4 linked regions of the Notamacropus eugenii genome follow. The protein of the gene in region 1 interacts with the protein of each later gene in a biochemical or structural test. Links are inferred from orthologs where the notes say so. Each region holds a gene or a part of one and is shown on either strand. Other genes may lie near its edges.

Region 1 (7,966 bases):
TATACTGGAAAGAGCTTTGTGCCTGACTGGGTTCCAACTAACTAGGGGCTATCAGCATTGTGGACACCTGGTGCCAGAGGACCAGAGAGCAACTCAATATGCCCAGTGGTAACACGTCTTTCAGGTAGAAGGAGATGGGAACACAAGGAAGCCTGGGGGCTGGGCAGCTGGATCCTGGTTCTTTATTATCAACATATGGGTTCAAGATTAAACTGTATATGGTACTACAGAAAACTACCAACAGTGGTGCTAAATACCAGAAAATTCCAAGAGCAAAGAGAAAAACTAGTTTTACTAGTAAAGCATAAATAAAACTTTTTAAAATTCCAGTAGCTGACAAGTCCTTCCACTCCAAAGAAGAACCTAAAGAATACTTTCAAATCTCAATATGCTTAGTGTTGACAATGAAGAATAAAGGACTGGATGTATCACAACATAACAAGTATGAATTTTCTATTCTAGAACTAGAGAAACCATGCTGAATGATGTATCGCTATCAGAGTCCATATTTCCCTTCCAAAAATAAAACAATCTCAGTCACTTCTAAGTACTGCTTATAACTTCTGCCTAATTACACAGGTCCAGTAGCAATCACATATATCATTAAGTGTTCTAAGTTTGACTGGTTCCCAAAACAAAATCATTCCTGTGGGGTCAGCTTTGTGCTGCCTCCACAGCAATGGAGGACAATTTTTTAAAAAAAAGAAGCAAAGAGAACATAGGTCACAACACAGTATATTGAGCTAATGTAGTTTCATGAAGGGACAGAAAAGACATTGTGGGAGAGGGCAGACAAAAGCAATCTTGAAAAATCGAGTAGCACCTAGAATAACCACCAGGAGTAGGCCTACTAGCTGGAAAGCAAAGAAACAGCAAAGGTGAGAGAGAAAAAGAGAGAGGGAGGAGGTGGAGGCAGAGTGAAGAGGAGGGAAAGAAGAGAGGGAAGGAGGGATGATGGATGGATGGAGAAGGGGGGAGGGAGAGAGAATGAGAGAGAGAGAAGGAGAGAGAGGGGGAGGGAGAGGGAGAGAGAGAGAGAACAAGAGAATCCATCTTGCTTGGTTCATTCTCAGATCAAGCAATAAAGGACCACCCTGGCTGGACTCTCACTCACTTTGGGGAATATATGGCAAGACAGAGCCATGATGCTCAGAAAAGTACTATTAAAAGTCTGAATTCTACTCCAGATAAAAAAAGACATTACTGGGCAATACATGGGTAAAAGACATGAACAGGGTAAGAAAACAAAAATAATTTCCTTTTGAATCACTGAAAAATACACTTTAATAAAAAGTTTGCCCTCTATCTTGACTCTTTGCTAGATGCTGCCATATGGTCTCCATATCTTATTAGGACATCAAACCAGCATGTCTAGGTTGACAACAAAAATTCAAGTGAATCCAAAGGAACCATCTAGGGGTTAGACCATCAGGGGCAGAAAAAAGTCTGAAACTGAACACCTGAACAATTTCCCATCCATACTTTCTGTGATTCTATTAATCATTAAACAGTTTTTTTTAAAGCACAATGCACAACTGTTCAAGTCTCAAACCAATAAAAGGCCACGAAACAATAAAGCTAAACACCATGTTCACTAGAGTCAGTTCAACAAACTTTAGACACCTACTGTATGCAACGAAATAATTTGGTGGGGATGTAAAGAGGAAAAAAGGGAAATTGTTCCCACTTTTAAGAAGCTTATGATTTGACAAGAGGAGGCCAATACTAGGTCACACAATAGAGCTTTTAAGCAGTCTGATGGCCTCAAATGAAGAAACCCATCTGACTGGCCAAAATGTAAGATCTGGGATCACAGCCCGTTGATTAAAATTGGGATATTGCCGGATGTAAATATGAAGAAAGAGGGAAGGCAACTCTACCTCTGATGCTAAAGGGAACAAGATGGCACCCTGGGAAGGGTGCCTTAGAACCAGGAAGAAAGGATCAGGAGCTCCCATGCCAACTCCGCCGGGTCTCAGATCTGGTCATTTGTTAACAAGTGGTGGTACCTGCCCTAAGCGCCCGCCAGGATCGCCAGGAAGAGCCAAGGTCCTCCTTTGGGGCCCTGGGGGCGATGTGCACGGGCTATGCTTCTGTCAGCGCCATAGCCTGGAATGCTGGGGGTCACCGGGGGCTCCACAGAATTGGGGAAAGTCCCCTGGGAGAGCTGGGCGCCCCTCCGGCCCCGGGTGACCTTCAGCACGCCCGGCCGGCCTCCGTGTGCGCATCTGTACAATGGATACTGTAGCGAGGCTGTCGCTGTTACTGTTACTGTTACTGTTACCGCCACTGTTACTGTTACTGTTACCGCCCGGGCCTGGCCCCCCAGCCCCGAGCAGAGGCCGGGCCGGCCCTGGAGCCGCAGCGCAGCCCGCCCCGGCCATCTTGGCCCCCCCACCCGGTAACCGGGCACGCACCAGGCGCGGCCGGCCGCCCCGCACTCACCACACCATGCCGTAGGCGCCCTCGCCGATGTAGGACAGGTTGGTGTAGCGCGGGCCCACGTCGAACACCTGCCCGCGGACCATCTCGGGCCCCGCGCCGCCGCCTCCCGCCGCCGCCGCCATGATGGCCGCCGCCGCCGCCGCCGCCCGCCGAGGGAGAAGGAGGAGGAAGAGAGGGCGAGCACGCGAGGAGGGGCGCCCACCGCCGAGCCGCCGGGAGCTGCCGCGGCCCCCCGAGCGCTGCCGCCTGCTGCCTCCGGCCGCCGCCCGCTGCTGCCGCCCCGACCGACTGACGGCCCGACTGCCCGACTGCCTGGGGGCCGAGGGCGGGCGCGCGGCGAGGGGCGGGGCCTGCGGCGAGCGCGCGCCGATGCGGAAGGACCGGCCGCCGGGAGGGGGAGGGGCGGCCGAGGCTTCGCGGTCACGTGCAAAGGGAGCGGAGGGGAGGGGTGCGCGCAGGCGCACACGCCGCAGGCCGGGGGAGGCGGGGAGGAGGAAGGAGAAGATGTAGACCGAGACGAGGAGAGGGGCCGCGGGGAGCTGCGGGGGCGTCCGAGGGGGAGCGAAAGGGAGGAGACCGAAAAGAGGACCTCCGTCCGGGGAGGCGGCCGCCGCACCCACGCACCCCCTGCCGACGGAAAGCGAGCGAACCGGAGTACGCATGCGCCGAGAGGCGCCGCCGCCCGCCCACACGCAACCGCGCGCCAGCGCCCCCCGCAGGCGCGCCCCGGCGCACGCCCGCCACATACCCGCCCTGCACCCCGCCCCAGACACGGGAAGCCGCGCATGCGCCGCACGGGCCTGCGGCCCGAATCCCAGCTCAGCGCCTCTCCCCGTGGCGTGGTGCGGCGCGGCGCCCCCCTGCCGGAGGACCCACTGTGTGCTGGGCTCTGCGCTCCGCTGCGGGGGTGCAGAGAATGCAGAAGCCGCCCCAGGGGAGCAGCCCCGGGGCACGCGGGGCAGATGTGCCCCGGCACGCGCGCCTCCGCCCGGGCCTGGCAGGCCCCGAGATGCCCGAGCATGCCCTCCCCTGGGAGGGGGGGGGGGGGTCCCACGCCCACGCCCCGAGCCTCCCGGTGCCCCCGCACCAGGCTCGGCACTCGCACGGTGGGAGCTGGATGGTCAGCGCTCACCCCGCTGCCCTCGAGCCCTCCTAGATCCCACGCGCACCCCCTCAACCCCTTCCCGAAAGTGCCCTGGCAGCGTAGTCAGAGGTGCAGGCTCAGCCCCCCGACACCCGCCCCGAGAATCGGAGAGGCAAGCAGCCTGGGAGCCCGCGCCCCTCAGGCGGGGAGCTCAGCGGTGTGCCCAGGTCACTCAGGCACCCCGTCCTTCCGGTGCCTACCCTTGCAAAGCAGGCTGCGTCCTGGCACGTAGGCCCTGCACTTTACAGCGGTCTCGTGGGATCCTGACAACAACCCTGCCACCTAGGTGCCGAAATTAGGCCCCTTTTACAGTTGAAGAAACTGAGGCAGGCAGAGGTTATGTGACTAGTCTGGTGTCCGCTGCTAGTGAGTGTCAGAGGCGGGGTTTGAACTCAGGACCAGCAGTCTATCCACTGCATAGCCTAGCTGCTTCATGGAAGGTTTGCAACGCACTTAGCAAGTTTTATCTCATTTGATCCTTACCACAATCTTGGAAGGAAGGTGCTGTTATTAGCCCTGTTTTTCAGATGAGAAAACTGAGGTTGAAAGAGGTGTCTTTGCCTGCAGTGTTAGTGGAAAGAACATTGGCTTTGGAGTCAGAGGACCTGGGATCAAATTACAATTCTGCCACTTGTGTAGCCAGTTAAATGTAGTATTTTTCACCTCTGTAGACTCATCTGTAAAAGAAAGGAGGGCAGAGTCCCTTCCAACTCCAAATGGAGGACCCTCTCATAGGGCAAAACACTTGGAGCTCATATACATGTAGAAAGGTATGCTCCTGTGCAGGCTCAAAGCCCCTACCCACCCTACTAGAGACGCCCTCAGATGCCCAGACCCCACACATACTTCCAAGGATCCCCTCTTCCTGTACATACCATCACAACCCACTCAGATCTCACACCCACTCGGCAATTACCACACACATTCAGCTACCCAGCTATCCCCTCCAGGCACATCTCCCCAAAGGCACCTCCACTCTTCCCACATCTATTCCTCCTACACACCCTTCGGAGGCACCCCCATCTTATAGGCACCCTCCACACACAGAGCTGCTCAACACATGCTGAGAAATGCCAGGCACCTTAATCCCCACTCCACGGCTTCTGCTGCAAGTTCGTCTGTCTCTCCGTCACACGTACCACACGCTTCGAAACCACAGCCAGCCAGATCTAAGCCAACACCATCCACCCTGGTTCAGCCTCTGTTTTTGCAAGCAGAGCGTGCAAACGGTACATCACAAAATCTAATCTGGTTGGACCCATTTTGCATATCTGATTTTGAGGCTGCTGTTAGTAAACTGAGCAGACACTGCTCAGAGAGTCAGAAACAGCATCATAGTTCTTGAAAACCTCCCTCTTTTTGTATCACCCGCCCTTAGCACAGGGCCTGGCACATGGTAGGTGCTTAATAAATGTGGCTTGATTGATGACTGATTGAAAAGAAGAACACAGTTCTGGAAAATAGAGACTGAAGTACTGGATATAGATGCCCATCAAAATTCCAGAATATATTCTCAAACATAATGTGTGAACCCCTGGAAAGAGGAGCCAGAACAAAGGATTCCAGACTACATAAAATTCCTTCTTTGCTAGTTTACTGGCTGCAAGGCTGTCAATACACAATGGATGGATTTCAGCAAGAAAACTTGTAAGACTCCAGGTGCCAAGATGTAGCACATACAAGTATACAGTTAGATGAATTCATGACTAATTGAAAAACTATTCAGACTAGTGATTACTGGATCAATGCTGTGCTCTCACTTCCAAAAACACAACTGCGATGAACTCAGAATGAACGAGATGGAACTAGATATGAAAAAACATTCAAGAAGCTGCAGGCTCCATATGAGTCAGCAATGGCTTGTGGCAGCCAAAGAAGGCTGATGCGTTCTCGGAGGCGTTCAGAGAGGCAAGGGAGGGAACAGATCTGCTCTCCTTTGCTGTGGGAGGCAGGATGGTCCAGGATGAAAGGAAGGTCAGAGGACCCGGATTCATATTCCACCTCTAATGCTCCTCACCTCTAGGACCTGTCCCTTCACCTCCCTGAGCCTAGGCCCTTCATCGGTGAAATGATCTGGAACCCTCAATCTAAGCTGCTTTCCTCATCTTCCTGTCTCATTCTCACAGTCAAGCTGGGTCCCCCAAGAGGGCAGTGACATCTGTCCTCCGGGTTCTAGCCTTACTGCTCTGGTGTGATTCCCAATATCATTGAACCGGCTGGCATTGCCTCAGCCTTAATTAACATTGGTTAGCTTTTACAAAAGGATATTAAGGCATAGAGAGGACCAGAGTACAACTAAGTCACACACAAACATGCACATGCACACGGAGCCTGGGATACACTATCCCCCAAGAACTATAGGATACTGGGCTTAGGGAGCATGTAGCCAAGCAACTCAGGGCCTGCATTCCGGGATTCTTTTTCTCCCTTTGAGGAGTACTCTTGCAGTTCGTAAGGGTGGGGACCCCCAAGGCAGCTAGGTGGTATGATGGGTAGAGCACCTGACCTGAAGTCAGTAAGTTGTTAAGCTATGTTTTAGTCAGGTCTGGCTCTTCATGACCCCATCTGGGGTTTTCTTGGCAAACACACTGGAGTGTTTTCTATTTCCTTCTTCAGGTCATTTTACAGATGAGGAAACTGAGGCAAATAGGGTGAAATGATTTGCCCAGGGTCACCCAACTAGGAAGTGTCTGAGGCCAGATTTGAACTCAGGAAGATGAGCCTTCCTGACTCCAATATACTACTCACTGCACTAACTAGCTGCCCCAGAGTCATTTAGACCTGAGTTCAAACCTGGCCTCAAATACTCCCTATCCTGGGTGACCCTGAGCAAATCACTTTACATCAGACCTCCCTGATTTCCTCATCTGTAAAATGGGGATAATAATAGCACCTCCCTCTCAGGATTGTTGTGCCAGTATCTGTAAAGTGCTTTGCAAACCTTAGAGGACATCTGACTGTTATGGATGAATATCAGAGTCCAGAGCTGAGGACTTTCTTTTTTTTTTGTGCTACTGAGGCATGTGTTACAGGGGCCTGCAACTGGTGCTCACGGGAAGGCTCATGAGGCTGTCCTCTGGTCAAGTGTGGGGCAGAGACAGAGCCTCTCTTCTCTCTCCCTCCTCCCCTGACTTCCTTCCTTCTCCCCTGTCTCCCTCCCTCCCTCTTCTATCTCCCTCTTTCACTCCTTTCTTCCATCCCTCTTTCCTCCCCTGCTTCCCTCCTTCTGAGGGAGAAGTCTCTCAGGAGCTTGACTGGAACTGTCCCAGCACAAGGCTGGCCAGCCAGTGGAAGGAAGCCCAGGCTCCAGCTGGCAGGCTGTTTGTATCTGAGCCCCACAGGGCAGGACCGATGCTCTCCAGCCAATTCCAATACATATCCTGAATACTATTCATCTCATTTCACTTCTTCCAGTGCTTGGCATTTCTGAATGATTAAAGGTTTCTCCCATGCCTAGTTTATACCTTTAATTGATTTATTCTGTACCATAATTAGAGGTGCTCTCAGCTGGTAAAGGTATGCTGGCTAAAGCATCTGGTTAGTTACACTGGTTGGGGCTGGGTGATTGATTGATTGATTGACTCAGTGGGGAAGTCTGGACTTCCCGGTGACCACCTCCCTAACCCTGTGATCAGCTGAGGGAACAGAGTGTGTTAACTCTAGCAGGTTGCCCAGTGACCTGTGCAGAGTAGGCTTCTCAGAAATGTTGATTGAGTTAAATGGAAATGCTGGGGAGGGAATCATCTTTCCTCTTCAGAGCTGGAGGGAATAGGTATCCCCAGAGGGAATAAGCAAGACCCATGAGTGGAGACCTGCTGGAAGGTGAGCAGATTATTACTGAGGGAAAATAATGATTTTGTTCATTCCGTTCCCTTCACTGATCTCCTTTTCTTCCAAGGGGGAAACAGAGGCACATTGTACATATGTCTCTACCTCTCCTGGGGGAGGGGAGAGGGAAGCGTGGGCCACTAGAACTTCCCATGAGAGCGCTTATTAACAGCAACAACTTCAACAATAAAAAGTTATTTTTGTTGTTTCGTCGTGTCCGACTCTTCGTGACCCATGGACCGTAACACACCAAAGCTGTCCGTGGGGTTTTCCCTAGCAAAGATACTCAAACGGTTTGCAGCTCATTTGACAGATGAGAACATGGAGGCAAAACAGAAAACCCCAAATGGGGTCATGAGGAATCTAGAATGACTGAACAACAGCTCCACTCCTTGGACACTTGCTGACTATGTGACTGTGTAAGTCACCTGATTCCTCTGTTTGTAGGAAGCAATCATTACGCACTCCCCAACTTGGGATGTAAGGAAAGTGCTTTATCAGCCTTGAACTCTGCAATCAGTGGGTCTTCATCCATGACATTAATTTGGT
Region 2 (7,076 bases), on another chromosome or scaffold:
GATCTTCCTCCAAGATGATCAATTAAATAATGAATAAAAAAATCATTAGATCTGCATAAGTATGTGAGGCTTAAAGAGAATATAATATTACTACCTTCAAAAGGTTTTTCCCCTACATAAGTGACTTTGATAAAGAAAACAGACTTCTATCTGATATCTGCACTATTTCTTTCATTGCTTAGATGGCAGGCAGTGCAGATATATGAGGTAAATGTAAAAACCTCATTTGGATTCAAAAAATAAACTTTGCAAGTTCAAGATGAGGAAAACATAGTTATCTGAAACGGAAACATGTCATCTGAAAGAGACCTTGCAGCTGCAAGTTCAGTTTGAGTGAAGAGAGTGATATGGGTGACAGAAAAGGTGATATGATACTAACCTGTGTTTACTGAAGCATCATAATGGTTATAGTTCAACTATACTGTGCCTTGGTAAGACCACATCTGGAGTACTGTGTTTAATTTTGGGTGCTGCATTTTATAAAAGAATGTTTATAAGCTCAAGAACATCTAGAGGACTAACTAGGATTGTGAAGGGTTTCAAGATCATGCCACATGTGATTCAGTTGAAGGAAGTGGGAAGATTTAACTTGGAGACGACCTAGGGAGATACACGACTACCATCTTCAAGTATCTGAAAAGCTGTCATGTGGAAAACGGATTGGCCTTGTTCTTTTATGGCTAGAACAAAACTAGAAGCAAGGGCTGGAAGTTAGAGGGTAGATTTAGGCTTCATATAAGAAAAAAACTTTCCTAATGAGAGCGCTCCAAGAAGGAAATGGGCTACCTGAGAGAATGTTACCAAGAAGTCATCAGACAAAAAGAACGGATGGTCACTTGCTGAAGATGGTGGAGAGAGGATTTTTGTTCCAGTATTGGACACAGTAGACAGGTTCTAAGGACCCTTCCAAATCAGATTCTATGCAACTGTCTAGGAAGTATTTTGAGAACATTATCTTGTACTTCCTGTCTCTTCAAAGTAGTGTATAAATAGTAGCAATAGGATGCTTTTTCTTAAAAGAAATATCACTGTGTATCCTTCCCTCATAAAACATTTTTTGAGTATCTACTATGGGTCAGTCATTATGCTAGGTACTAGAAATATAAAGAAGACAGTAATATCCAAATAATATAAGATTACATTTTTAAAACTAGAATGGTTAACAATATAAAACTTGGGAAATGCTTATACTTTACAATTCATCAGTCAGTAGTTTAGGTCAATACTTTAAAACTCTTAAATAATTCACTTTTAGTTTTCTAGGATGAAATAATCAATAAACATTTATTAAGTCCTACTACATGTCAAGTGTTGGTGATAAAAAGACAAAAAACACAACAGTCCTCAAGGAGCTTACATTCTATTGGGGAAAATAACACACACAGGATCAAAAATAATTGGGAAGGCAGGGGAGAAGCACCAGCAGATCAGTAAGAACTTCTGTGACTCAATTTTTAAATAAAAAAAAATGGCTCATTTTACATACTTCTTAAGAATGCTCAAAGTTATGTATTGGTGTTCATAATGGGTTCTTGGGTTCAATGTGGCCAATATAACTTGATAATCTAATCCAACGACCTGAATTACATAGTCCTTAATCCCTGATTCCATAAATATCTAGACCTCTAAAATAAACTTTTACTAACAAGCACCCATTTTTACAGTTTTAATAAAACAGATGAGAATGATTGGGTGTTTTTTTCCTAATGAGAACTCGCCTAAAACTCCCGTTAGTAACAATTGTTTAACAAATATGCTCTAATATAAGAAACAAAATGTTCCAAGGCTGAACATGGATAGCTTTTGAAATACTCCTTGGACGCGTTCATTTAATTATCTCCCCTACATGAAAGTTAACAAATTTTGGAGCCTATGTTCCTTCAACTACAATAAAAGGCTTGGCTTCCATAAGATATGGGTAATCCCTGTGACTCCATTGTATTTACAGAGTAGCTGTGCTGTTGGCTCCCACATCCCCTTCAGAGGAGGATTTTACACCAGACCTCAAGAGCACACAAGTAGGCACGCACAAAAGGGGCTCCCACCTCCGCCCTTTCCCTAGTCCCCTCCCAGGAAAAGACCACAGTCATTAATAAGGTAGCCCCCACAGGTGCCCTGGGGTGTGAAGGATAAAGAAAAGCTAAGGAAAAAATCCCAGATCATCCCCTGACAAAGACTTGGCTGTACACCAGCGGAGGTCACCGATGGGAACACACCTGCATTCACCTACGGAGGGGAGGGAAAAGAAAAAAGAGCAGGCCGGCCCTCCCAGAAGCCATGACTACTAGCGGTGGTGCGGTTCGCAGTGAGGATGCCCACCACCCAGGTCAGGGAGGTGAGCGGGCCCAGGTGCCCCTCCTGTTCCATGCCGCCGCCGCCGCCTCCAGCGCCCCAACGCACCAGCCGGATCTAGGGGGGCAGGAGAGGACTGCTCCTGCTCCAGGCCGGAGAGGAAGGGAACGTGGAAGGGGGGGGTCACGCCCACCTTCACAGCGGAGGGCACAGCCCCCCAGGAGCCTCCCCCAAAGCCGGGAGAGCCCGGAGCGGGGGAGAGCAGATGCCGTTATTCTGGGCAGAGGAAAGCGCGCGAGCCGGGAGGAGCCGGAACCCGGCCAGCCACCCACCTAACGGTCCGGTCCTCGAAAGGCCGCGGGGCAGGCGCCACCCAGGCCGCAGCGGGGGCGGAACTGCCATCACAGACCGAGGGAACAGGGACCCGGGCCGAGAAGGAGTGGATGGTGGGGGGTGGGGACTGTAGCGAGCGACGTCGCCATGTTAGCGCCTTCTTCCCTCGGTGCTCCCCGCCTGCTCCCGTCCGACACCCCGATCCCCACCATCACTCACCTTCCCCGCTCCCCTGGCTCGCGCGCCACCCCCGAATACGGGGGCCGTGACCACGAGCTCCGGCACCCACAGCTGTTTACAAACTACCCCCGGAGGAAAGGGCTGAACCGCACTTTAAAGGCCACGGGCTCCCACAGGCTTCCGTCCGATCTCGCGAGATCTTACTGACAACACTTCCCTCCGCCCCTTTCTCGCGCCTTCCCTCCTACATTTCCCCTCCCACGTCCCCTTCCCCTCCCTACAAAAACGTCCCCTCCCCTTCCTGCCGCAGGACCAACTGCCGGTCCCGGCTGGCTAGACTAAGAGGGTGGGGCGGCAAAAGAGTTGGAGTGGGATTAAAGGAAGAGGAGGAGAATGGGGTGGAGGCGGAGAACAAGAGACGGCTTACATCCTATGATTGGTCGAGGACCGTGAAGGGGCGGGAAGAAGGCGGGAAGAGGAAGGAAGTGGAGAGTTCTCTCAGGTTAGAAGCAGTGCGGCGGGCCGTGATTGGCCGGAAGGGAGTACAGTACGCGAGCGTTGGAATTCGGTAGTGCAGCGCGCCGAGGTCCTCCGGGGGGGAGGAGGAATAGGTGAGGCTGTGAAGTGTGGCTCCCATGCCCAGCCACGGGGCAGGGCTTGGCAGTTAGTAGGTGCTGCCCTCTTCTCAAGTGACTCCTCGGGCGCCTGAAGACCTGGGAGAGAAACGCGACACCCTCCTCCTCCTCTTGCTGCTCCCCTCCCCCGGCGCCACCCTCAGTCCTGGGGCGCATGCGCAGTCCCTCTCGCCTACCTGAAGGGGCTCTGTCCGCTGCTGCCACATCAGTCAGAGGCGGAGCTCAGGTGGTGGAGTGGGTATTTTTGTTTGCCTTTTTTAAGTGCCTACACACCTAAAGAAAAAAAAGACGCAGGCTGAGAGGTGGTTTTGAGAGCGGACAGCCAGAGTAATCGATCGCTTCGGTTCGCTTCCGACTAGAATGAAAGCTGCCTGAGAATTTGGACTCTATTTCCAAGTAAATGTTAGTCACGTGGGACCCAAGTTGAAAGGGATTTCGCCCCAACAGCCTCCACTTTCACCTGGTTGTTAGAGAAGGTTCCCTCCTGGTCACCCCCGATCGCCATATAGGAAGGAAGGGACTCGTTCTTCCCTTCAGGACCAGAATGTGAAGCTTACCTTACCACTGCCGAGGTTGCAGGTGGAAATGACCTTCCTAGGCTACACTCATCCATCACTTTTTTTCTCATTAATAGAGCTCAAATAAGGAGTCAGGCTTGGGGTTCTGGAGTCCGAGAATCTCGAGTTACTTGTTATTTGTTGTCTGTGTAACCTTGTGAAAGTTATTTCCCGTCCCTGGCCCTCAATTTCTTCATCTATAAAAATGAAAGGACTTAGATGAGATCACCTTTAAAGTCCCGTACAGCCCGAATTCTGTGATGGCTGTAAATGGCTGCACCTTCAGCTTTGATGGGTATTTACAAAATGAAGAAAATCACTTTTTTAAATTCTGAAAAATTATGCCTGTACATTGCTCAAACATAATTGTGTTTGCATTTATTAGTAATCCCACCAAAGAATCACCCACAAATTTCATTTTTGATTTGCACTTTCATGGGATTTAGAATTGAAAGAATCTTTAAGTGATCGCCCAATCCAAATTCTTCCTTTTGCAGATGAAGAACTGAGACCCAAAGAGATTTTAAAAACTTGCCTGATTTCACACAGAGAAGAGCTAGATTCAAATATAGATCTTCTAACTCCAAATCTGCGCTTTTCACAGTTTAGCAGTCATGAAGTATATACAATTTGCAAGTCACCAGGCCCTGGTCATACAAAAAGAAAAATGAGACTCCATACTTCGAGAAGATTGCCTTCTCCTGGAAGGTTAAAAGGTGAAGATGTGTAATATCTGCTAATTTAAGGACAAAAAAAGCATAGCATTCTAAGTTTTCTTTCAAAATTATGGAAAGGAAATTGAGATTATGAAATATTGCCCACAATAATTTGATTCATGCTTAGAAAACAATAATCATCTCACTGTATTTCCTCTTGGTATGTATAACAGTATTTTTTCTAGTTATACTTAAATAAAGATCCACAATACATTTCTCTAATGGCAAATTCAGAAGTGAACATTGGGGACTTCAAATATAACTTATCAGTTCAGCAAAGTTCAGTTATTAATTAAAGCCTTTTCAAACAATAGTTGAATCACTTGAAAAAGTTATAAAAAATTATATGTAGAAATAATACCAAAATGAGCATTATATTGTGACTATCACATTACAGACATCACTTATAATTCCAATAAAAAGGGGAACATCTGTCACCTTATAGATGGCTTTGTAAAGAATATTGATTTTATCAAACTCACGTGGAAGACCACAGGGCCAGCTTTTCATGTGAGCTTCCCTGAAATGTGCTTTATAGCCCTACTATTAAATTACAGGTGTGCTCCTAAAGATCATGAAAAGCACATGTACCTGGACTTCTTAATAATCAATCCCAAATTCTCTATACAATATATGGATTTCAAGGGTGTTCAGTAATATTAGTTAATCAAGACTATTTGTCCAATGGATTATTTAATGAAATAAGTTAGTCATTGGCATTGGCCTGAAAAGTATTTTTGCCCCCCTAGTGAAACTTAAGAATCTTTCATTAACAGCACTTTCTATAAGAGCAAATTTATTTCAGTATTCTCTAATCAGTTTTTTCTTCTTCCTGTTCACATTTTAAACAACTTTTAATGGCATGGGGGAAAAAAAACAAACCTAGACTGGGAGTCAGGAGATTTGGGTCTTAGCTCTGGTTTAACCAACGTAATTGATTTTAAACAAATCAAACCCAGAATATTTATCTGTAAAATAAGGGAGGGTGAGGAGTAAGACCAATTTCTAAGTTCTCAACCATAGCTACAATTCTATTATTCTGTTTTAAAGCAGATTAAATTATTAATATTTAATGTGATATGCCCTCCCAAAGTATATATATAAATATACAAAGTAAATTGATGCACAGATATTCAGATTATATTTCAAAGGTAAAGAATGTGCACTTCAGTAATGGTATCTGGCATTAAAAATGAGGTTGTAATGGCGCTGGACCTTTTAACAGATTTCTGGCATGCATACATGTACATGAGCCAACTCAATCCTCTTTTAAAACTAATTTTCAATACACTAAAGACAAGAAGGATGCCAGATTATTAATGCTTGAACATTAAAAATTAAAATGATGGTAACTTCCCAAATTTCATAGGAAACATCAAAGCATATCATTAAAATGAACTGTTTAAAAAACATCATCACATCCACAGTCCTTATCTATAGGAGCTTAAAAGTATTCACTGTAAAAATATTAATCTACAAAATGCAGAGTAAATTCATCATAAACAAGTCTGGAATGAATCATTAAAATAGTACCTCTTTACCCTCTCCAACACTTTATATAAGACAAAGCCAGCTGTGATCAGGACAAGAAAATTTCACAAACTCTTGTAGTTCAGCAGAGGAAATAACATAAGTGTATCTTACTTTACCAGTAGCTATGTTCCTGAAAACTTTCATGTGCATTTAATTTTTGCAAATCAATCATTTTCTCATTGACATACATTAAAGTTTTGAGGTGCTTTATCTTCATTTCTGATTAATCTTCATTTGGCAGTGACTCCTAATATTTTGGCTTTAAAATTCTCTTGCTCTCCTGACTCACTCAGCCTCCCTGCCAAGTAGTTAATGATTTACTTAAATGCATGAGGGGAACTTTCTATTTAAAGGAACTCTTCCATGAATTCTTTCAGAAAGAGAATGCTTCCATAACATGAATAATCATCTCATGATGGCTCTTTTATAAATTAATTTTTTTTTAATATCAGGTTTTCTAAAAATGAGGAAAATTACGGCAGAGCAGAGGAATGATAGAAAATAAACATGAACAGTCTGTGAGGGGGAAAGGCCCAAGTAGCAGCCAGTTATGTTGAAGGCACTGGTATCAGAGTTCTTTTTCTGTGGCCTCTTCAAATGCTTTTTCTTTCAATATCTTTTCTCAGTTCATCAGTCAATGATTTTATGCTTCCATATCCTCTAATCTCAATAGTGCCTACATTTCTTCTCATTCGCTTCCTTCTATCTGTAGTAAACATCTTCAAGAATCCTATTTTCCAGGAAGATAATAAATTTTGGAGAAGATGTGGGAGAGTTGGAACACTAATTCATTGTTGGTGGAGCTGTGAGCTGATCCAACCATTCTGGAG
Region 3 (7,544 bases), on another chromosome or scaffold:
CTTAAACAGTAGTTTCCTTGGTGTTGAGAACCACATCAACCGCAGCGAATTCAATAAATGCTTAAATAAATCAAAGGGAGGGGCAGGTAGGTGGCAGAATGGATTAGAGCACCAGCCCTGAAGTTGGGAGGACCTGAGTTCAAGTCTGACCTCAGATATCTAATAGCTATGTGACCCTGAGTGAGTCACTTAACCCCAACTACCTCCAAAAAAAAAGAAAGAAAAGGGATAATATATCTTCAGCCCCAACTTCTCATCATATTTCTAGTTTCATACCCCTCAATGCTTTGAGGATGCCTACACTTGGATGTTTCCCAGATATCTACCATAATCTGCAATAATCTTATCAAAAACCAAACTCATCACTTTCTTTGCCTACCTAGACATCATCACTAAGCATCATTTTCATGATTCCTGTGGTTCAATTTTATTGATCCAATCCAATCCAATCAATCCATCCTGGAAATTCTTCCTCTCTACTCATAGATTCACCCCCTTCCTCTTCATTACCCTGTATGTAGTCCAAGTCCTCGTTGACTCACACCTAAACTTTAGCAACCACCTCTTGTCTTCCTTCCCAGCTCCCTTTATCCCATGTACAGCTGTAGTCATTCATTCTCAGGTATCAGTCAGGAAGTCAATCACTTGTTGACTAAGTGAATGAAAATGAATAAAAATCTCCCAGATATCTACTGTTTGTGATTTGAATCTGTATCTCTACCTCAAACACTTGAATCATATAATCTGATCATTGGCTGCCCAAGAACTTTATGGTTTCCTAAGGTCATATCAGTTGTGATCTTTGTCTAGATTTGTATTTAAGGCCCTCACTTCCTCCCCAATCTCTCCCTTTCCATTTTTTAATTTCACCACAGTTCTCAAACTCCACCACAGAAAAGGTGATCTACTCACTGCCCTCCTTATGAATGCCTGTTCTCTTCCTTCTATATGGCTTACGTCATTTTCCTTAACTTCACCCTTCTCTCCCAATCAATGTCTCCCAACTCAAAACATCTCCACAAAGCTTCTGATGGCTAACTCCTTCTTACTGATTTCTCTCTTTTGCCCCTACAACATATCATATTAGGATCATAGAATTTAGAGCTGGAAAGGACCTTAAAGATTAATCGGTTCAACTCTCATTTTATAGGTAAAGAGACCAAGGCCTACAGAGGTCAAGTGACTGGCCCTAAATCACACAGGTGATTTCTAATAGGAGAGCCAGGACTCCAACCACCTTTTGTGCGCCCAACCTACCAATCCCCTACATTTGACTAGTGTTTCCTGGTTCTAGTGCTCAGCCCTCAGTAAGCTTAGAAAGGAGAGGGAAGGACGAAGAAGTCAAATGACAGAGAAGAAGAGAGGAAAGGGAATGTAGGGTTAAATGAAAAGAGAAGTGATGGTGAAAATAACAAAGGATATGGGCAAAAGACAAGAAGCAGGAATCAGGGGAAGAGGACAGAAGACAAACTGGGATAGAAGAGGAAAATGGAGGAGCAGAAGTGATCAAGAGGCTAAGGAAAGAAAAGAAAGGAAAAGTGGAGAGAGGCTGAAAAGCAGAAAAGAGAACAAAAAGTTCAGGAAGATAGGAAGGCCATAGAAACAGCCAAAAGCCCATGAAATTAGTGAGTCCAATATGGTAATGAAGACTTTTAGAGAGGCCTAGGTAGTGAGAGAAGAAACGGGAGATGTGGAGAGAGGCCTAGAGCCGGTAGGGCTGACGGGAGAGAAAGGGACATTTCTAATGACGAAGACAACTTTCCAACTTCCTCAAATTGGGCTGTAGGATAAGAAACTGAACTACAGCCATTTGGGGGTTGGAAGGGGTGGGATGTAGAGTGGTACACTCTGCCTTGTCATTTCAGGGAGATGACTGTACAATCCAAGAACCCTCTCAGGCTAGGTGTAAAAGTTTAGAGTCCTGTGAAGTGTGGGAGGTGACCCCCAAGTAAAAGAATGGACAAAACCAGCCTGAGACAAGCCACAGGAATACTTTAATCAGCCCCACAACACAGCTCCCTGTCTCAAAAAAAATCCCCTGTTAACACCCCAAAATGACCACCACTCTTCAGGCCCTGCCCCACGGCTCTGTTCCCCTTGCCCCGTACCATACCACCCTTCATCCCTAACATTGTCTTTTCCTTTCTCCACAGATCTCTCTTCATTCCCTCTCACAGGGTTCTCGCCAGGCAGAACAAAGTTCAAAATACTTTGACTCCTCAGAGCTGGCCCTCTCACCACCACTATACCTTTGTCTTCCTCAACAGGCAAGCTCCCTCAGCCCCTAGTGAAAACCTGTCCTCTGCCCTCTCCTGATGCCTGTAGGGTCCTTCAGTGTCTTGGGACCTGTCTTTTCTTGAAGACACTCTCCTTCTTCCCCCATATGACCAGTCTCCCTCTCCCTAAATCCCCAAACCTTTCAGTCTCTGTCTCCAGGGGACAAATGTGGTGACCTGCCTGAGGACCTATACTTCGGTACTTTTCATTGATAGGGAGAGGTTGGGCAAGGGAAGTGGGAAGACCAGGGGTCTGATCCCCCAAACTTTGCCTGGTGCCCTGGTGGGCTGTATGAAAGCCATCCCCGAGTCCACCCCCCGACCATGTCCCGTTCCCTGTCCATCTCTCACCAGTGGCACCAAGCCAGGCAGGGTGGGGTGGCCCATGTCCGGCCTGGCTGTAGCTTTTCACTCCCCCATCAGGGCTCGGGGCGGCCGCTGCGGGAGCAGCGAGCCAGTCGTGAGCGGAGCACAGGATTCCGAGGTCAGAGACCCGAGCCAGGCTCTTGAGGATGGAGATCTAAGCTCAAAATGCCGACAACCCTGAAGACCGAACCGGAGCGGCAGCTGCCACCAAAACTTGAGTCCCGGCTTGAGCCAGGGTCGGACCTTGAGCAGGCAGCGGGAGCCGAGAAAGCTAGGGGAGAAGAGGGAGGGAACGAGCAGGGTGTCGTAACCGCTGCTAGGACAGGAAGAGCCCGAGGAGGAGGCGGGGTGAAGCGGGGGAGGTAAAAAATTAAAAAAAAAAAATTTTAAGACTTTTAACCCTAGCCCAGCCAAGGATTCAAGAGTCCTGGATGAAACTTCGGGGGGTTCCCAGATCTCTGATGACTTCCATACAAAAAGGCAGAGAAATTCTTCCCCTCTTCCATTCCACCATAGGACACGAACCATCCAAACACCAGCACCTCAACCCCACAAATCACTTAATCCCTTCAAAAATCCCAGGGCATTGAAAATCCTCCCTGTCCCTCCCCTTTTGGGAAGGAAGGGGAAATAGCACATGATGGGGAGACAAGAGATTCTGGGCTCTCTTCCCATTCTGCTACTAATCCCATGTAGGACCTTGAATACTCTGAGCATCAGTTTTCTCATCTAGTTAATAGTAATAAGAATAAATATTTATTAAACACCTACTATGTGCCAGGAGTTGGGTTTTTTTTTAAACAAATATTCTCTCATTTGATCCTCACAACTATTATTATCCCCATTATACAGTGGAAGAAACTAAGGCACGGAGACGTTAAGTGACTTGCCCAGGGTCACACAGCTGGTAAGGGTCTGAGGCTGAATTCAAATTCAAGTTTTCCTGCTTCCAGAACCAGCAACTGTGCAACCCAGCTGCATCATTTGCCAATAAAAATAATAATAGTTCCAATGATGATGCAGTGACAGTGAAAAATTAATTCTATGGGGCTCTAAAGTTTACAAAGCACTTCCTTCACAGCAATGCCTTGAAGTAGACAGTGTGTGTATTATGCTCAATGGACAGACCTAACCCTAACCCTAGAAACAAAGAAAATTATTCTCAGAGAGGAAAAGTGCCTTGCTTATGGTCACACAGTTAGTATATTGCTGGACTCCAACTTGGCCTTCTGACTCCAAGTCCAAGGCTGCTTCACATTTCTTGTAAGTGTAATGGAAATAATCATGATGGCCACCATACCTACATCTACTGAACAAGAGCCCATCCTCTCAGAGACATGCTGGTAAATGTTTAACTATTGCCTGAGGGAGTGGGAGAGGACTTTGTAGGTGTTAGATGTCTTAAAATTTAATCTGCATTAATATTTAAATTAATTTTTAATTAATTTATTTTAATTATATATAACACATTATAATTTTAATTATATACAATAATTATAATTTATTTTAATTATAATTAATTTAAATTAATATTTTCTTCATCACTTTCTTAAGTCTAAATAATCAACAGAACAATAAATAAAGCCCTGATTTGTAAGCATTTACTGATGTCCAAGGTGTAAGTGCTCATACTGAAATTTAACCATCAATTCTACAGCCAGTTTGATCTGGCTCCAGCATAGTGCTGTCTCCAGTAGATCTAAGCATGCCATCCCTGGTTCCTTCTGATGAAGTGACTTCTTCCTGTTACTGTTGCTTGCTTTGTCCTTGTTCTTGAAGGGAACTGTGGCATCAAGATTGGATTTAAGGACCAGAGGTTTCTTTTACTTGATGCCCCTAGGGGTAGGATATGTCTCAGGTCCATCTGATAGTTCAAGTTCACACCATTATCAAAAAGGAGGTTGAATTAACTATAGTATGGAAATGATACTCGACAATATCATAATCCTTGGCTCAGATAGAAGTCATTCCCTCATCAACTAGTCAGCCCATTGGGTGTGGTAACTTGGACAGAGTTAGGGACATCCACCAAGTCTGATGTGTATGGATTCCTCACAGACTGGCCTCTTTTATACCTTTAATGATCAGAATACTAAGTCAAAGACTTGCCCCTTACTCCCCTGGGCCAATCAAGTCTCAGTGACAATTTTCTTGCCTTTTAGGGAAAAACTAACCTGGTCTTTTTGGGTTCAAAAACACTGAAAGAATTTTTCTGATGCCTCCTACAGCACAGTTGTTTGTGGGGTGTGTTAGCACTGATTAAAGATATCATATGTTGTGTGCTGAATTAAACAACCAGGCCAATGCTGTAATAAGGACCAGAGGCTAAAAACCTCATGTGAGGGGACCCTGGCCCATATTGCTGCTATCACACCCTACACCATGCCAGCAAAGTCCTTTAAAACAGTCTTGTCAAACTCAAATAGAAATGGCTGCCATTAAACTCAACATAAAGATCCCTATGGGCTGTGTATTGACTTAGAAAAGTACATATTAGATATTATCTTTGTTTTATTGCATTTTTTATTCATTTTGTTAAATACTTCCCAATTACCTTTCAGTCTGGTGCTGGCCAAACTGGGGAGTGTTGGGGGCTGCAGTTTGACAACCCTGCTTTAAGGGACTTTCTACCATTTACAGAGCTTTAGGGTCATTATTCGACAAACCTAGTCTCAGGGATGAAAGAAGCTTGATATAAGCAGCATTGGAGGATGAAGAGAAAAACTAATCAGAAAAATACAGCAATAATTTCACAGCTCTTTGAAGGAGTAACAGAATATGGAAGAGAGGGAAGACTGAAAACCCTCAGCTTTCCCTCCCCATTTTGGAAAGAACTGAATCTTGCCAATCTGGGCCACGTAGAGGGCGATGCCACATCTTTGCATTCACAGTGGGGCTATTAATGATGAAAAGCAGGCATTGAAAAGCATCAGAAACAACAGAGCCACTGCTCACATGACACTTTCTGTTATCATCAAACTTCAATACAGATCAAGGTCATTTGAATTAAGGTAAGTAAGAGAAACTTCTCTGGGATCACTGCCTTGTCATGGCAGAAGGGCTTACATAGCTCAATGAAACTATGATATATGCCATGAAGGGTTACTCAGGACAGACAGGTCAAAGTGGAGAGTTCTGATAAAAGGTGATTCACGGGAGAAGGAAATGGCAAACCATTCCAATATCTTTGCCTAGAAAAACTCCATAGACAATTAAATTAAAATGCTAAAAGATATGACATCAGAATGGTGTGTTATGATCCACAGGGTCATGAAGAGTCAGACATGACTGAACAACAAAAAGGTAGAAAGGTCATTACCCTCTTGAATATAACCTGTCATATTGCCGGGGTCTGTGCCCACCAGGGTTTAGTCCTCCCTGGAAAGCACATCATGAGGATGATACCAAATATTTGTCTCTTTAGAGACCTCTGTTAAGAGTCCACCCTCTTCTATGAGTTCTGAGAGTAAGGGTTTTCCTTAGCCTTCATTCAAGAACTCAAAATTACCATTGTCAACTAAAAGATTCTTTCTTCCAGGTAAATTTATAATTGTCATATTTATACAGAGACAGTTTCACCTTCCCCCATATCATTAGAAAGGAAGGCACTTCCCAACAATTCTACCCATGATTCTCCAAATCCTTTTTGGGAAAGAGTTATCTGAACTATCCTAAGGGAAAAGAAAACCGTCAACTTAGGGAAACCTGAGTTGTTTCTCCAACGTGTATGGAGCCCCTTGAGGAAGCAGACCTTGAGACCCAGGTGATTCCCCAAAAGGGAAGGAACAAGGAAAAGCCTGAAAGAACGGACCAGGGCTATGTCTAAAAACAGCCCATCTTTATCAGATAAGTCTTCCAGGATACTAACTTGATCTGAGGAACCACTGGAATTTCAGAGGCATGATGAGGAAACTTGTTTCATAGGGACAAACTTCTTGCTGGAGGATGGAGAAAATGGGTTAATTTGCTAGCTGGGAGCAGGTCAAAGATTACAAAGGATAGATAGGTGCTCTGATTGGCATAAAGATCTCCTTTGGAAAGAAGTAGCTGCCTTATCCTTAGGGGTATCACGTGTTGCAGTCCCCAACATCATGACTCCAACTTCCCATTAGGCAGTGGACGCTTTTCCCCACTTCTTATAGTTTAGTGATTGTCCAGTAGTTTCTGTCATATTTATTTGACTCTTCAGGACTCTGTCTGGGGTTTTCTTATATGTATATACGTATATATATATATATATATATATATACACACACATGTCTGTGCATCTGTGTGTATGTATACATACACATACATACACATATATGTATAATGTTCTATTTTTTCCCCAATTATGTGTTAAAACAATTTTTTAACATGTGGGGTTTAAGTTTTGAGTTCCAAATTCTATCCCTCCTTCTCCTCCTTCCCTCCCTTCTCCTTGAGTTGGTAAGCAATCAGATATAGATTACACATGTGTAATCAAGTAACACATTTCCATATTAGTCATTTTGTATAAGAGGATTAGAATTTTAAAAAAGAATGAAAGAAAGAGAAAGAAAGGAAGGAAGGAAGGAAGAGAAAGGAAGGAAGGAAGGAAGGAAGGAAGGAAGGAAGGAAGGAAGAAAGAAAGAAAGAAAGAAAGAAAGAAAGAAAGAAAGAAAGAAAGAAAGAAAGAAAGAAAGAAAGAAAGAAAGAAAGAAAGAAAGAAAGAAAAAGATAGGATGCTTCAGTCTATATTCAGACAATATCAGTTCTTTCTCTGGAGACACATAGCCTGCTTTAACAATTAGTCCTTTAGGATTGTCTTAGATAGTGGTATTGCTGAGAATAGCTAAATCATTCACATTTCTTCATTGTATAATATTGCTGTTATATATACGATGTTCTCCTGGTTCTGCTCACTTCACTTTTCATCAGTTC
Region 4 (8,181 bases), on another chromosome or scaffold:
AAATGCTTGATAAATGTTTATCCCCTTCCCTCTTCCCTCCCTGGCCCATCCAGGGACCCACAATCCTGCAGTCTTTGAAGTCCCTGGGAAAGAAAGAGTCATGGCTTCTGGGGACCAGGGGAGAGGACCACGGGGGTGGAGAGGCCGTCCATGCTGAGTGTAGGGACAGACACATGTGCCTGGGAGCTGCTGCTGCTGCTGGCCGGAAACTGGGAGGAAAGAAAGACAGAGACAGAGAAAGACAGAGAGAGACAGGAGAGAGAGTGAAAGAAAGAGTGAGTGTAAGAGAATGAGAGAGGTGAATGAGAATGGGAATGAATAAAGACTGGGAGAGCCTGGAGATGAGGAGAGACAGACGACAGACGCACACAGACAGACAGATAGACACACCAGAGCCCACCAGAGGAAGCCGGGAGTGACATACACACATGGACCTGGGTGGGGATAAGTCAAGAAGACAAGGATTGACACGCCCCTCCAGGGGCCGCACCTGGAAGGAGAGGCGGGCAGGGCTGCGGGGCGCGATGGGGCTCAGGGTGCTCCAGAAGTGGATGCTGGGGGGCAGCGCACTGGGCGTCAGAAGCACCGGGGTCTGTGGTGGACGGGAGGAGGGCAAGGGACAGTGGAGCAAGCCCGCTTAAGCCCCGCCCCCAGATCCGCCCCCGCCCCGCCCCGTCCCCAAGCCCCCCCTCCCGGAGGCTTCTCGGGCTTACCAGGGCGTGGGAGGTAAGCAGGGAGGGCGTGAGGGCCGGACCCAGGCCGGAAACCGCGGCCGGCTCGGGGCTCGGCCCCAGCGGCAACTCCAAATCGCGGGGTTTGCGACCCTTGGAGGGGCCTGGGGGGTGAGCCTGGACTTCGACTGCTGGGGCCGGGGCGGGCCCCGGCGACTCAACGACCTCCACGCTAGTCTCCATGGCAACAGCAGCTCCCTCCTCTAGAGGCCGCTCTCCCTTCGTCTCGGACGGAAGCAGCAGAGAGGAAGCTGCGGTCGAAGCCTCTGCCTCCCCAGCCTCCGCCAGGCCTTCGGCGGGAGCCATTAGGATGACCTGGGGGCGGGGAAGGAGAGGAGGCTGAGGACTGGCCCAGTCATTCTCATTTCTCCCCCCCCACACACCCTTCCCCCAAGGAATCCAGACACCCACGCACAAGCACACATAAGCAAACCTGGAGCGGCATTCGGGCTTCTGAGGCCTCAAGGCTGGCTGGGCTAAGTGGCTCTGGGGCTGGCCGAGTTGGCCGCGCTGGGCTCAGCTGCTGCAGGGACTGGATGGTGAACGTGGAGTAGAGCCCAGAACGCATATACTCATTCCGGCTGCTGCGCACAGGGGTAGGGGCAGAGGACCCAATGCTCCCTAGAGAGGCCTTCAGCGGCCGGAGGGTCTCTGGAGCAATCTCAGCCCGGACCTGGCCCTCCTCCCCACCGTGGCCTGGCCCCTCCGGGAAGGACACGAATTTGTAGACGAACTTCTGCCCACTCACCTTACGGATGATATTCTGGGAAAAGTGGGAATTTGGGGGGCAGGGGTGTTCAGGGGTAGGCCCAACCCCTCCTCCCATGCCCCCCCAAAACCCCTCTCCCAGCGAGTGGGCCTCCCCAGGGTAAGGCGGGGACCCGCTGAGCCAGGCCAGGCTGGGGGAAGCACACCTTGTCATAGTAGTAGCGAAGTGCCCTGCTCAATTTGTCGTAGTTCATGTTGGTCTTATTCTTTCGAAGCCCCCACAGCCGTGCCACCTCCTCAGCATCTACCAGCTTGAATTCCCCGTCACTAGATGTCCAGGCTATAAGGTGTCCATTACTCTGCTCCTTCAACAGTTGCAGCAGAAACTGCCACAGGGTCACAGATGGGTCCATCACTCCAGACACAGGATCATGAGCCAGCCAGCTGGTTAGTATGAAGGTGGGAAGACAGAAAGAGGGCTTTGGATGACTCCATCACAAGGCAAAGTGTAGGGGAAGCTGTGGGTCACTAGCTATCCCATGACTCCAAAAGGAGAAAGAGGAGCATGAAGACATGGGGGAAGCCAGAGCATGAACATGGGAGTGAAACTATGTCCTACAGCATGGACACGGGGATGACACTAGGCCTGCGCTGGTAGGGAGGGGATATGGAGAATGGACACAGAATCGGGGTTTGACTCCTTATTGCAGGCGCCACACATGGAGTCATTAACTTGAGCAGTCCAATGAAGGTACAGGCATGAGTATGTCTTATTACTGTGGGTGGACAGCTTGGCCCCCAAAGTTAGAGCCATAACAGCAGAATGAGGATTTGGAGGATAGTCATTGAATGTGAAAGCTACAGCAACACAGGACCATATAACCTGGTCCATCACTGAGAGGGGGCGGGGCGGATGGCACCATTACTGAAGAAAGGGCAACATGAAGGACAGGATGTCTGGGGCGGCCTATTAGCATACAGGGGCTACGGGGACAGGAGTCATGCAGAGGGACTACAGAATAGGGACAGAGGGGTTGGTTGGTCCGTAACTCTAGGGAAGGAAAGCCACAGCTAAGGCCATTGCTGCCGATGAGTCGCACGGAAGGCCACAAATAGGTCCGTTCTCGGCTATTAGAGGCGCTGGGGGCCTCCAGCCCAACCCTGTCTCCCACCCCGTACAAATCCCCCCCAAAATACACAGAAAGCTCGCCCTTCTCCTGCAGCAGATGCCCTCCCGATTCCCAGGCTATCCCTGCCTCACCTGTGAGCAACCTGATGGCAGCTCCGGGGAGCGGGGGCTCCATGGGGGAGTCCCAGCCCGGTAGCAGCCACCCTCCCGCCCCTAGCTCCTCCTTCTTCTGCTGACACCGATCCCGGCCCCTGTCCACTCTGTAGCCTCTTATCCAGGACCGGCCTGGTTTACACCACCTCCCTCCCTCCCCCTACGACCGACCGAAGCCTGCCCCGGCCCAGAGCAGCCCGGAGCCGGCCCAGAGCACCACCGGGATAGAAGAACCGGGGTCTGGCTGACGTTATCGATCACGTGGTAAGGGAAGGCCGAAGGGGCGGGACCCGTGAGTCAGAGCAACCAAGCCGCCACCAAAGGGCGGGACCAACTAGAGTGGCAAATCTAAAGCCACTAAGGAGACAGATTGTGCGCCTGCGCAGAAAAAGGCCCAGCGCAGCTAGATGAATTTCTTCAGTCTGCGCCCACCGAGGTGGGAGGGGGGGGGGGGGGAAGGAGGCGGAGGAAAGGGGCCAGCTCGAACACAACCATAAGAACAAACAGGAAGAGAACAGAGACCGTGGCTCTGCGACTGCAGAGAAGATAATGGTAGGGAGGAAGGCTGCCCCATCTCCATGGCAACAAACATTCTCCCCTCCCCAGCCTCATTCCCAGCTTTTATTAAAGGGATTTCTGATTTCAAGTAACAAGAGTTGGAGCCTCAGTAGCAGTCTTCTTAGGGAAAGGAAATTCTCAGCATCCTAATCAGTGTCCTGGATGATCTGGCAGCTCTTGTAGCCCCTGCAGCTCCCGAAGGCCCTTCGAGGGAAGAGAGTACATAGGATCGGAAGTTAGGTTCTAAAATAAGCTTTCCACTGACACACCTTCCACCCTCCTGCCCTTCTTACCTCCAGCACCAATCGGATGTGGGCTTTGATCCGAGCTGAATCTCGGGTGAGGTTGTCACTTAGCCTGGAAAAAGATAGCTAGACTTAAGGAGGGAATAGCATGCTCGCTCAATTTGGTATGAAAATCTATCTTACACGACAGTAGGGGAGAAGGAGATAAGGGGGGCGGGGAATGATAGAAGGGAGGGCAAATGGGAAGAGGGAATAATTAGAAGTAAACACTTTCCGGAAGGGACAAAGTCAAGAGAGAATAGAAGAAATGGGGGGCAGGATAGGATGGAGGGAAACATAGTCTTACACAATATGACTATTATGGAAGTCATATACCCTATACTGAATTGCTTGCCTTCTCAGTGGGGATGGGTGGAGAGGGAGGAAGGGAGAGAAGCTGGAACTCAAAGTTTTAAGAACAAATATTGACAATCCATTTTTGCATGTAACTGGCAAATAAATACAGGTAATGGGGTACAGAAATCTATCTTGCCCTACAAGAAAAGAGAGAAGATGGAGATAAGGGAAGAGAGGGGTGTAATAGAAGGGAGGGCAGATTTGGGGAAGGGGTAATCAGAATGCACGGTGTTTTGGGGTGGGGGAGGGGAGAGATGGGGAGAAAATTTGGAACTTAAAATTTTGTGGAAATGAATGTTGAAAACTAAAAATAAATAAGCCGTTAAAAAAAAATAAAGATGGCCAGAGCTCGTCAGAGACCCTTTCCCTTTCCCCCTCACTCCTGTTCCCCTCAAACCCTGGAAAACCTACGAGGTGAGCAGGCGGCTTTTCCGATCAATGAACCTCAAGGCCTCCATCAATGTCAGCTCCAGGAAGAAGCCGTGGCCGAGGGCCACAAATATCCGGGAAGGGTCTGGCCTGGAAGACAGAGGCATTTCTCAAGGGGCTCTCTATGAACCTCGTGGCCCCTCTGGGGCTTCTCTGCATTTGGGATGGTCTCTGAGTTCTGGGATTAGGAGGTGGGGTGTTCCTTATGGAGTAAGGGGTTTTTAAGCCAGAGTCTGTGAACTTCAAAAAAACAAACAATAAAAAACCCTGGCTACCTGAAATGGAATGGAACTGATCTCCTTGGAGTCCATATATTCTATTTCATGCACTTAACAACTATGCTGGGGGCAGGGGCCCATAGGCTTCCTTCCACACTGCTCCAGGGTCGATCTAGGGTGATCCACTGATGAGGGGGGGACTCACACTTCGGCATTCACGAAGAAGTTACACCCCAAATCCACCTGTGTGTGCAGCCTCTGATCCCCCGATTCCTGCGGGAGGGGGGGTGCTTAGAGGGCGGGCCAGGCCGTCCCAGGGCCCAAGGGAGGGGCTCCCGGGCGCCCCGCCCCGCTCACCTGGAGCCGCTCCAGGACGTTCTTCAGCTGCAGGTAAGCGGCCAGCTGTCCGTACACTTCCTCCCGCTGCGCCAGGACCTGTCTGGGGTGGGGGGCAGAAGGGGTGTCTAGGCCCCGCCCGCTGCCGCCCCCCGCAGGCCCCACGCCCCCTCGCATTTACCTTAGGTCTCGCTGCAGGACGTCGCTGACGAAGGTTTCATACTGCAGGACCTTTGCCTGGACCCCCCGCGGTGCCGTCGCCATGCTGGCCACCCGCATCCTCCCACCCCCTTAGCCCAGGCCCCTCGCCACTCAATCCAGTTCAGCCAGCCGCGCCAGCAAAGACCCGCTTCTGACTTCCGGGGGTGAGCCGCAAGGGGAATGCATCACTTCCTGGCGGTTCTGCGTCACTTCCTGCCGCGTACTCCCCGCCCCTTGGGTCACGTGTTTGGTTGCGTGGCCTTGCACTCCCAGGTGGGTGGGAGCTGCCAGGCTGAAGCATGCGCAGAAGACCTGAAGAAGCAGCTGTTTCTGCTGGCCCCCGAGATCCGGGAGACTCGTCTCGTGACCTTCCGGTTTCGAGACTTTGCGCGGCTTTGGCCCCGCCCTTGAAATTCTCTGGCCCGCGGGCTGTCAGTAAGACAGCAAGCATTCAGGAAGCGCTTACTCTGTGCCAGGCATAAAAAAGCATCTTGGCTTCCCTCTCTGCCTTGCGGCCTGCCCTAGGCCTTCCCCCCTCAGATTGCCTGCCATTGACTACACTTTGTACTGACCTATTTGGTAAGACTGGGACCTCCTTAGGACCAGGAAGCCACCTTGAGGGTGACCTTGGGGACCCAGACTCCGGCACTGCTTGCTCTCCGCCTACACACACACCCACCCCATACAACAATTCTGGCATTAAAAAATACTGACATCTTTGAGGCTGGTTAATACCACCAACATTTCTTCTACTATCTACTCCCAGAGAGCCAACCCATACAGAAAATAATGTTTGCTAAAGAGGGAAAATCAGCAAATCTGATCAGTGTAGAAAAAAGTCTAAAACAAAAAAAAAATCTCTACCCTGTACCATTCACAATTCCACAGATAACACATATAGATCTTTCTTTTTTTACTTATGTTTATAACATATTTGTATGTGTGTATATATACCCAGAGAGCATACAAAGCAGTTTTGGATTAGATCAGATAGGGCAGTCGGCAGAAGTCACTTTTAGTATGAAAAATGTTGACCTGAAAACTTGGTTTAAAAAAAGAAGGCAACAGGCTAAATGCATACATTTTATGATTTAATTAATTAATTAATCAATTCCCTATTAAAGACAATGGCACCATAATGCATTATGGAGCCAGAAATGTTCTGGCTACCAATACAAAGAATTGGGCGGCCTTAAATATGTTTTAGGACAAAGAAGTGTTCTGTGTCCTTCAGATTTATGATCTCCATAAGTGACTAACAAGACCATTAGAAAGAAATTTCTTAATTGCATAGGCTGTAAATACAATAAGATAACAGAGTTTGACAAAGTTTCACATAGAAATTATGACCCAAGATGTCTATATTTTCTTTACCACTAATATGCCATAACAAACATAGTATATGTCTATAGATAATAAGATCTAGTGTCTTAGGTTAAAGGTCTCCTAAGGAGTGTAGAGTCAGCCTTGGCTGGCTTTTGCTGACATAGGAAGAAGCATTCTCTGAGTTTGTTTCAGAGAGAACAAAGAGATTATTCCAAAATTTTACATTAAACATTATCAAAATTAAAAGAATGCTTAATGTATTAGCATGTGTTTGTACATGGTTGCCAAAGAAGACCATGCCATCAAAGAAATAACATGACTTCCACTTGACTTTGCTCTGAGTGAGGGAGGGCTGTGCAGGTCACCATCCTCACTGCTCCTCCAGAGTCATCTGAATCCAGTGACCAGATATTCATCAGGATGACTGGAGATGACCCAGGATGAGGAAATGGGGGTTAAGTGACTTGCCCAAGGTCACAAAGCTAGTGAGTGTCAAGTGTCTGAGGTGAGATTTGAACTCAGGTCCTCCTGACTCCTGCACTGATGCTCTAGCCACTGCACCACCTAGCTGCCCCAACATATTAGGATAGCTATTTACATCAGACCAAAGCAAACAGTATCTTCTTTATCAGTCACTTAATGAACATTTGTTAAGCTCCTACAAGCTTTATTAGATTGGAGAAGGAGACGAGTTCTTAGAAATATTCAAATGAATTCTCTTTTGTAATCATAAAGTGGTTGGGGGAAGGGAATTACTGAAAAAGACATTCAGTGTCTCACAGAAAAAGAAAGAAACATACCAGCAAATACAGCACAAACTAGTCAGTTAGTTGGATGCCACCTGTGCTTGTTCTTTACAGAGAATTTTCATTTTTGATTGTTCTATGACTCCTTCTACTTACATTGTTGCAGCTCACTTTCCTCGGCATCAGTTCATGGAGATCTTTCCACACTTCTCTATTTTCATCACTTTTATCATTTCTTACAACAGAGTAACACTCCATGCCAATTCATGGACCACCATAAATGTAGTTATTCTCTAATGGATGAGCATCCACTTTGTTTTCTTATGGGAATAGCCAGTGGTTCCTTGACCTGCTGCCAGTCTTGCTTTTCAACAAGCAGAGAACTAGGAGATAAAATCAAGGTTTATTTTATATGCTTCAGCATAGGTCCAGAACTCAAAAATCTCTCTCAATCAGGAACAAAGTGTAGATTTAAAAGTTTAGATTTCCTAAAGTTTACACAGTTTCTAATCTCATCAGAGACACAAAGAAAAGAATACAATTTTGCATTACAGTGGCTACAAAGAGAAAGGAATCACTGATAAGAGAAAGAAAAGATTTACATGACAAAGATTATGCTGACGTGATTTGTATTTCAAAGATAACTGAAGAAGACAATCACATTAGAGCTAGTTCATCAAAAAATCACTAATGAGGGAAAAATCTGGGATTGGGGTAGCATGAATTCTTTTATTCCCATATTTTTTTTTTATGTAGATCAAAATAATTGGGAGTCTTATGAAAATCTCAGCCAGCTACATGACTTTCCTTCTAATTAAAGTGGCTTAAATAATACTGGAGAGAAAGGAATAAAAAATTCTTACAACTCCTTATGGTCATAGAAGGAAATGAAATGTCTCTCTGTAACCATATTCTCATACATTCTGTCAATCTCCTTTCTAGATGTCTCAGCATCAGTGTTATGGCAAACATTTCCACAGGCAGATAAAATATTGGACAACACTG

What was found.
Region 2: of the proteins of MAPK1 (region 1) and ATF2, one has a biochemical effect on the other in vitro, tested with the Homo sapiens proteins (3 studies listed by BioGRID). The link is inferred for Notamacropus eugenii from reciprocal best matches to the Homo sapiens genes MAPK1 and ATF2.
Region 3: the proteins of MAPK1 (region 1) and TNFRSF1A form a complex in vitro, tested with the Homo sapiens proteins (2 studies listed by BioGRID, with this or other methods). The link is inferred for Notamacropus eugenii from reciprocal best matches to the Homo sapiens genes MAPK1 and TNFRSF1A.
Region 4: of the proteins of MAPK1 (region 1) and ELK1, one has a biochemical effect on the other in vitro, tested with the Homo sapiens proteins (16 studies listed by BioGRID and IntAct, with this or other methods). The link is inferred for Notamacropus eugenii from reciprocal best matches to the Homo sapiens genes MAPK1 and ELK1.

The regions. Positions count from the first base shown.
Region 1 is NC_092875.1:8,406,904-8,414,869, forward strand, and holds the start of MAPK1 (mitogen-activated protein kinase 1), read right to left. Parts: upstream 3,128-7,966; 5' UTR 3,108-3,127; coding exon 2,446-3,107; intron 1-2,445. UniProt on the Homo sapiens protein: Serine/threonine kinase which acts as an essential component of the MAP kinase signal transduction pathway. MAPK1/ERK2 and MAPK3/ERK1 are the 2 MAPKs which play an important role in the MAPK/ERK cascade.
Region 2 is NC_092876.1:237,515,277-237,522,352, forward strand, and holds the start of ATF2 (cyclic AMP-dependent transcription factor ATF-2), read right to left. Parts: upstream 3,007-7,076; 5' UTR 2,845-3,006; intron 1-2,844. UniProt on the Homo sapiens protein: Transcriptional activator which regulates the transcription of various genes, including those involved in anti-apoptosis, cell growth, and DNA damage response.
Region 3 is NC_092874.1:194,579,851-194,587,394, forward strand, and holds the start of TNFRSF1A (tumor necrosis factor receptor superfamily member 1A), read right to left. Parts: upstream 3,196-7,544; 5' UTR 2,664-3,195; coding exon 2,628-2,663; intron 1-2,627.
Region 4 is NC_092879.1:101,805,052-101,813,232, forward strand, and holds the start of ELK1 (ETS domain-containing protein Elk-1), read right to left. Parts: upstream 3,202-8,181; 5' UTR 2,701-3,201; exon of another isoform or gene 1,884-2,700; 5' UTR 1,853-1,883; coding exon 1,646-1,852; intron 1,495-1,645; coding exon 1,165-1,494; intron 1,047-1,164; coding exon 714-1,046; intron 593-713; coding exon 491-592; intron 210-490; coding exon of another isoform or gene 99-209; exon of another isoform or gene 1-98. Other genes in the region: protein UXT, read right to left, coding at 3,430-3,483, 3,573-3,636, 4,332-4,439, 4,773-4,840, 4,925-5,006, 5,085-5,182. UniProt on the Homo sapiens protein: Transcription factor that binds to purine-rich DNA sequences. Forms a ternary complex with SRF and the ETS and SRF motifs of the serum response element (SRE) on the promoter region of immediate early genes such as FOS and IER2.